Linked DNA regions of Drosophila melanogaster. The protein of the gene in region 1 purifies or fractionates together with the protein of each later gene. This does not show direct contact. Each region holds a gene or a part of one and is shown on either strand. Other genes may lie near its edges.

Region 1 (3,606 bases):
AGGGCTTCGGATTTGTTATCATATCATCATCGAACCACTATTACGGCTCGACAATAGGTATGCCACTGACTTTAGACTTTGTTTCAATTCATCTAACATATCAACGTATTAAGGGAAACTAATACCCGGCAGTCCGGCGGATCGTTGTGGAGAGCTCAAGGTGGGCGATCGCATAGTGGCAGTAAACCGCATCGAGATAGCTGGCATGTCGCACGGCGATGTAGTGAATCTCATCAAGGAGTCTGGTCTTCATGTGCGTCTCACTATCGGCGTTCCGCTGAAGGAGGGTGGTCCCAGTCCTGGCGGCAGTAGCGTCGGTGTGTCCAGCAACACTCCGCTGCAGGCATCTCCCAGTCTCCTGAAGGCACAACTCTCCCACCAGCAGCAACTTCCGCAGCAGCATCTACAGCAAGCGCAGCTGAATCACCACCACCAGCATCTTGAGATGCCAATGTCAATGCCCGTGCCAGGACATGGCAGCTATTTGGAGCGACCCAGTAACAATATCTCAGCCACTTTGGCGCTGCATCAGCAGCCACAATTATGACTCTGAGACCTACGCATTCGGCTCTATAAGAGCTTTCTATAGTGTTGCATCGCCTGCAGGCCCTTAGTTTGTACTTTCGTTAGCAAAGTACTCACCCCAAAGACTGAATTTAGTAGCATATGTAAGCCAAACCCTTTGCAAGTCTCAAAACCGTATGTGAGTGCGTATTTTATTCCAGTTTCTTAAGATACCGATCATTATCTTAGGCTAAGTTACTGCTTGTACTTAAACGTTAAGACAATTTGCCAGTTTGTGAGATATTAATCACTTAGCTTAAGCTGTTTTAGACATATACGAATTGTACAAATGTAAAGGACTTTAAATTTTTATCTCGAGTATGTATATTATTCAAACACAATAGATATTAAATTGTATTTTTCAAATATACCTACACATTATAACATCAAAAGTTAAATGGTTTACTATTGTGTTTGCTATTATTGTTAAACTTGTTGTCTGCTACTACATCGAAGATTTGCTATTTACTTCTATAGCACAATCTAGACTGTACACAAGACTTTGAAAACAAAGTATCTTCCAATCCTTTTTTATTCACTGCAAACTGTACCAAAAAGTACAAAGGTATAGCTTATACAATTACAAGTATCGTAGAAGTTCCATTATAAAATACGATGTGTCCGTCCGATAAATAGGCTATGCTTGAGGTGGTGGCTACGGCTTATATGGGCTTGATCTTGAAATGCAGGCCGATGAGTGAGAAGACCAGGCACTTGAGATCCTGCACCAGGTAGTAAAAGCATCGCAGGCCCTCGGGATCTTTTGACCGGTTCACGTCCACCAATGATCCCGTTTTCGAGGTGGTGAACGAGATGTGCTCGTCTCCGATGACGATCTCCAGTTCCTGAAAAAGACACATGGTTGTTTAGTTGAGCTCTAGTTACGGAGTGCGGCAAACCGACCTGTCGACCCACGCGATCTGGTGGCGGCCAGGGCAGATCGTCCTCCTGCATGATCTCCGAGTCGATGATGATTCGCTTCAGTTCTTCCATCACGGACTGGTGGACGAAGGCCTCCTTGCGGATCATGGTGTCGTTCTTGTAGTTGGAGTTGTTGGCGTACCGCAGCTTGCCATCCGGCCGGAACTCGAACTCCAAGAATTCGTGCCCGAACTTGCCCTTGTGTCCGACGTAGTAGCGTAGGTAAAAGTCCTCCGTGGACATGATTGCTTCTAGTTTAAAGCGTAACTTTGAAAGACTTTCAGAAAAATATCAATTTTTGGTTTCCCACTCTTTTTCCTTTACTACAACGCGTTAGAGATGGGAAAACACACGGAATAACTATCACCGCGTATCGATAAGTGTTCGCTGCGAATGGCTGGCAGGGATGAGGAAGAGAAGCCAGCCTATCGGCGTATCGATAACACAACAATAATCCACGTACAAGTCGCGCATTTGGCACTGATTTTTATTAAAATGTAATTCAGTTTTGGATGCCATGGAACTACCTCAACAAGTATGTGAACGACAGGGCGGTGTGTGAGAACCCATCTGTTAAACGGTGCTCGAAACTCGCTGGGCAACATTGTAATTATTGGCGAATTGAAACAAAGTTGGCAAATCGGGTTTGTTTGCGGCCGTGTGATTGTGTGCGTGTGCGAGGCCATCGCCGTTGTAATGGCGTCCATGTCACTAAAATGGGAGAGGACATGCGGCTGGCTCTCCGGTTCCAGCGCCCATAGCCATCGCCATGTCCTTATCCTTCTCCAGTGCCCCGTATCTCGGTCAAAGTAATTTTACAAAAACACACACGGCCATTAATTTGCGCTCGGCGAGCGGGAGAGCCATGAGCACGGAGAGCGCACGTCCTGGCAAGTGAAAGTGCAAGGATGCGGGACCGCGCATGTGTCGCTCTTGGCGGGAAAATGGAATAAGGGTAAACGGAGCACGTGCCCGCCCGGTCGTCCTTCGGGAAAAGTCGGTCGTGCAACAAAGTTGCGCTCAGCTGAGATGCAATCCTCTCCAGCTCCCGTTGAAGCTAGGCCCCTTTTTTCGCTCTTTACGAGCGCTTACTTCGCTTGTGGTGGTTTGTTTTGACTGAACGCCCGGAAAATCGATGGCATTGAGTGCAACATTGTGGCATCCGCCCATCTGCCCACCGATGTGCCCCGCCTAGTAATGCTCCAGGTCCCGCAACATTTACAACAGTTTATGCAAACAAATCTCTCACGCGCTCTTCGCCTCTCTAAAAGCGCTCTCCGTCCGCATACTTGTACTTGTGCGTACCCAAAGTCCGGATCCGGAGCTCTGTCGGTCCGCCCGGGTTACAACTTTGTTAACTTCGGGCTTTTGTGTGTGCAGTCGGTAACCAGGACAGTAACCGGGAAGGAGTTACTTTGTTGCGTATTAATTGATTTTTTCCGCAATCAGTTTTTGCTTCTTTGTATAACTTCAAGTGCTCATAAAAAGCGGTAGAAAGTTTGTCTTTAAAAAGACTTTGACTTGGGGGAAAATCGGTAAGTTGCGGATGAAGGACTATGGAAAGTAAGAGGATTTGGGTGTGTATCCAGAAAAGATGCGAGGGCTTACATATACATTACTGCACAATTTTGTTGCTCGGGGGAATCCCCTTTCAAAAAAAATATATAGATATGTATGTTGCCTACATTTAGGGGCTTTCTCACTAATAGGAAGTGTCTATACTTAAATTGGTGGACTTGTATACTTAATTAGTTTCCAGTTAACTTAAACTAATGGTTTTCCCACTTTCTCATTTTTTTCCAGGCCATCTAGGGACCTGCCGACCGTGGCTGGGTAAAGCCCTACATGCAACATTTCGCCGCCTGAACGAACAATTGTGGGTACATGACGCCTTTCACGAAGTAACGCGAAATCAACATGTCAACGAACCCCAACCCCGGAATCCATCAGTATGCACCCTCCACTTTGCCGAGGGAACGGGAGCGGGAAGGAGCCACAAACTCGCCGCAGCGCAACCTGCTCGAGTTCCTGTGTATATGCGTAGCCTGCATAGTCTGCTATTACAACAGTACTCAGTGCGGGCTTGTTTTCGATGACATCAGCGCAATCAGGGACAACAAG
Region 2 (4,007 bases), on another chromosome or scaffold:
ACCTAAAGAGCACCTGCCGCGTATGCGCAAAGTATGCAAGCAACAAGCGGTCGCCGAAGTTATTCGAGCGGAGCAACACAAAGATGATCGACAACATTGAGGCGCTCACAGGCCTTCGGGTAAATTTTTCACTGCGGCTTTATGGAATTTATGTAGTTATAGCTTAATTTATTGGTGTTTAATCTAGCTGGAGAACTACGGTTGCCTGCCGGATCAGATATGTGAATGCTGCAGCATGGAACTGGCCTCCGCCGTTAAGCTGAGGGAGCGCTGCATCGCCGCCCAGCGTGAGCTACTCTTGGGATTGACCGAGGAGCAACGCCAAGGCATCTCGGCCTTCTACCGGGCGGCTGTCATGGGCGAGGATATTGTCCAGACGGTGAAGACGCCCGACGATGATGAGGTCTATGCCACTTATCAGGAAATCGTATTGGAAGAACCTAAGGAAGAGATCGACGACACCAAGGTAGAGTACGATAATACCTACTACGAGGTGGCCGAGGGACACGCCGGCGAGGACGACGCAGCCTCCTTGATTGAAGAGGCCGACTATGATTCCATAATGGCCGAAGACGAAGAGCAGCAGCAAACGTTGGAGCTGGACGAAGACACCGAGCTAATTGTGGGCGACGTCAACGACGCGTACGTCTACGATTCGGATGATGAGGTGGCCGTTCTTGACAACGTGCTGGATGATGAGTACGAGCATGAAAACATTGTCGTCAAGAAGTGTAGTCTGCCGCCAAAGCCAAAGGTCCGGTCGGATGATGCGCGTCGTCGTGGCACCGGCGGAGTATACATCTGCGAGCAGTGCGGCAATCACATCAAGGGACGCATGGCCTTTGAACTTCACTGTCGTCGCCATCGTGGGGACAAGCAATTTGGCTGCGAGTGAGTACATTTCTACTCCTTTTTGGATACAGTATGACTAAATGGATTTATTTTCAGACTCTGTCAGTCGCGCTTCTGCACAACTTCCGAGCTGAAACGCCACATGCGCAAGCACACCGGAGAGCGACCGTTTGCATGTAAGTACTGTGGCCGCTGCTTCACAGACTACACCACGCGCGTGAAGCATGAGCGTACCCACACCAATGAGCGCCCCTACGTCTGTGGTACTTGCGGCAAGGCCTTCACTACCGGCTACATCCTTAAGAACCATATGCTGATACATTCCGGCGAGCGGGCCTACAGGTACGTTGAGTCATACAGCTACACAGTACCGGGAAACCCAATAACTAGGTTTCTTAGAAATTCTAAGATCATATTATGCGGCATTACAAGAGTTTTCCAAAACCTTATGAGAGTTAAGATAACTAAATATTACTTATGTTGCCAAATTTCGTGAGTAATATTTAGTTATCTTATAATAATTTCTTATAATAATATGAAACTAGTGATACTGGTACAGTTACTGAAATGTTTGAAATGCCATCTAATACTGAATCTTCCCCTCAAGGTGCGAGCTGTGCGACAAGTCCTTTATGCTGCCCACCCACCTGAGCACCCACTTCCGGTCTGGCGTACACAAGCGGCATCTGGAGAAAGCCGAGATGAAACAGGTCCTGGAGCAGGAGCAGAAACGTGAACTCAAGGAGGAGGAGGAGGACAGCCTGCACATCTAAAGCTGTCCTTATAATATATACATAGCAATTACAGGCAATGCTAGACCGACAATGGCGCACAGCCAAGGAGCATTTCTGCAAATAATTAACAAACCAATTGTAATATGTAGAACTTAATATTGAATAATAAATCAAAACTTCAAATCCCAACTTATGAGCATTTATTTCATCTGTAAAAATTGCTTCCATGCGAATGGCAAACGGAACAGCTGATTGACAAGCATAGCATTGTTTACAAAAAGTTTGGCGTTTCAAACTTTTTTATCGGCTCAAAAATGGAAGGAAAAGTGTGTCGCACTTGCGGCAAGCGCACGAATGCTGAAAGATCATTGAATATTTTTGAAAAGCGCAATCAAACTACGCTGGAACACATCAAACTACTAACTGGAGCTGTGGTGAGAGGATAATAATGCGTAGTGTCTTTAACTTTCTAAAGTTTTTTCTCTTTACAGTTAAAGAACTGTAGTACGTTGCCAAATCGACTATGTGCGTCCTGCCAAACTTGTTTGCAACAAGCCATATCCTTTAGGGAACGCTGTTTGGAAGTCCAAAGGGAGTTGCTCCATTCCCAAGATGATGAAGACTTCCTTAGAATCTGCCAGGAATCTCCCAAAAGTGTCCTTGAGCAGGAGGAGTTGGAACTGGATCTGGCAGAAATAAGCATAGAAGTCGAGCGATTAGACGATCTCAATGAAGGGCCCATTCAAAGCTCCGGTTTTAAAGTGGAGGACATTCTAAATGAATCTAAAATCAACGAAGACGAGCCCAATAATGAGGACGATATTGATTATAGTGAAATGGATTACCTTATTTACGAAAGCGATACTGAAGTAGATGCAAAGCAGGAACTCAAATCAGACTCTGAGAATCCCAAAAAAAGGAGAAATCGTCGAAATCCCCGCGACTCCAATAGGACCTTCTTTTGTGAGGAGTGCGGAAATCACATAAAAGATCGAATATCATTCATACTGCATTGTAAGCGACATCGCGGCGTCAAGGAGTTTGGGTGCGAGTAAGTGGCAATTCTACTTAAGATTGATCCTAACTAATCCGCTTCATTTAAGATTCTGTGAGGATCGCTTCTGCACGCCGGCGGAACTTAAGCGTCACATTCGCAAGCATACCGGGGAAAAGCCCTTCAAGTGCAGACACTGTTCCCGCAGCTTTTCTGACTACAGCACTCGGTTGAAGCACGAGCGGACTCACACTAACGAACGACCTTTTGTCTGCAAGGAGTGTAACAATGCCTTCACAACATCCTATATTCTTAAGAACCACATGCTCGTGCATACCGGGGAGAAGGCTTTTAGGTAAGCGGGTACTCGAAATAGTACTTAAGTGTAATAATAATAATCTATTCTATTTGCAGGTGCGACCTCTGCGATAAGTTATTCAGTCGCTACACACACCTTACTACCCATTATCGTTCAAATGCTCACAGACGAAACATGCAGAAAGCAGACACAATCTTTGATAAACCCTAAAAGGTATCACTTAAGAAGCTCTTAGTTGAAAACGGTTGCATTACCAAAATAGGAATTTTTACAAAAAAAATCAAAACGGATAATCAAATTGTGAACTATATTTGGCTTTAAAGGTTGAGATGGACTCATTAAGGTCTAGTTTGTACTATACATTAGAGTGGATGTTTCCAGAGCAGCCAGGCCCAAAGACTCATCCTGCTCCTGCTCCGCGGGCAAAGGCACTTCTATCGTAAAGGCATCCGCCTCTGCTTCTGGCTCCTTTTCCGTCACGAATTTGACCTGATCCGCTGACTGGGATGGTGACAGCTGAACTCCACCCGCGTCTGCCATCGATTTCTCCAAGTTGTGCTTATGAGTGTTAGAGCGGAAGTGAGTCTTCAAGTGGGTGGGTCGCGCAAAGGATCGATGGCACAGCTCACATCTGCAAAGGATCGGCTAGGTGATCATTAACTTAAGCACTATTTATCATAGTTTACTAGCCTGAACAGGCGCTCGCCCGTGTGGATAAGCATGTGGTTCTTGAGGATGTAGGAATTGGTAAAGCTCTTGCCGCACTGCGCACAAATAAAGGGTCGATCATTTGTGTGGGTCCGCTCGTGACGCAGGCGACCACTGTAGTTGACGTAGGTGCGGTCACAGTAACGACACTGGAACTTGCGATCTCCAGTGTGCATCACTTGGTGTCCTTTCAGCTCACCGGAGGACAGGAAGCGGGCGGGGCAGAGTCTACATGAGAGCAATGTTACACAGTTAACTATCAGATTGTACAATTGACGAGCTAAAGCTTTTCTTACTCGCACTGAAAGGGCCTAATTCCGCTGTGTTTGCGTAGGTGACGGTCGAAGGAGGACTTCCCTGTAATATTGTTGCCGCACTGATCGCAAAAGAAAACTGGAAG

Evidence for each region.
Region 2: the proteins of mago (region 1) and ranshi purify together in Drosophila melanogaster (affinity purification with western blotting, with the first as the bait; one study listed by BioGRID). This does not show direct contact.

Annotation. Positions count from the first base shown.
Region 1 is NT_033778.4:21,126,816-21,130,421, reverse strand, and holds mago (mago nashi), read right to left. Parts: upstream 1,846-3,606; 5' UTR 1,729-1,845; coding exon 1,468-1,728; intron 1,410-1,467; coding exon 1,227-1,409; 3' UTR 685-1,226; downstream 1-684. Other genes in the region: magi, read left to right, coding at 1-57, 114-547; Tmtc3 (transmembrane O-mannosyltransferase targeting cadherins 3), read left to right, coding at 3,403-3,606. UniProt on the Drosophila melanogaster protein: Core component of the splicing-dependent multiprotein exon junction complex (EJC) deposited at splice junctions on mRNAs. Involved in exon definition of genes containing long introns, including the rolled/MAPK gene.
Region 2 is NT_033777.3:8,727,554-8,731,560, reverse strand, and holds ranshi (ranshi), read left to right. Parts: upstream 1-1,867; 5' UTR 1,868-1,900; coding exon 1,901-2,020; intron 2,021-2,077; coding exon 2,078-2,637; intron 2,638-2,689; coding exon 2,690-2,935; intron 2,936-2,994; coding exon 2,995-3,109; 3' UTR 3,110-3,194; downstream 3,195-4,007. Other genes in the region: M1BP (motif 1 binding protein), read left to right, coding at 1-119, 188-891, 949-1,194, 1,460-1,625; CG8159 (uncharacterized protein), read right to left, coding at 3,245-3,530, 3,590-3,835, 3,904-4,007.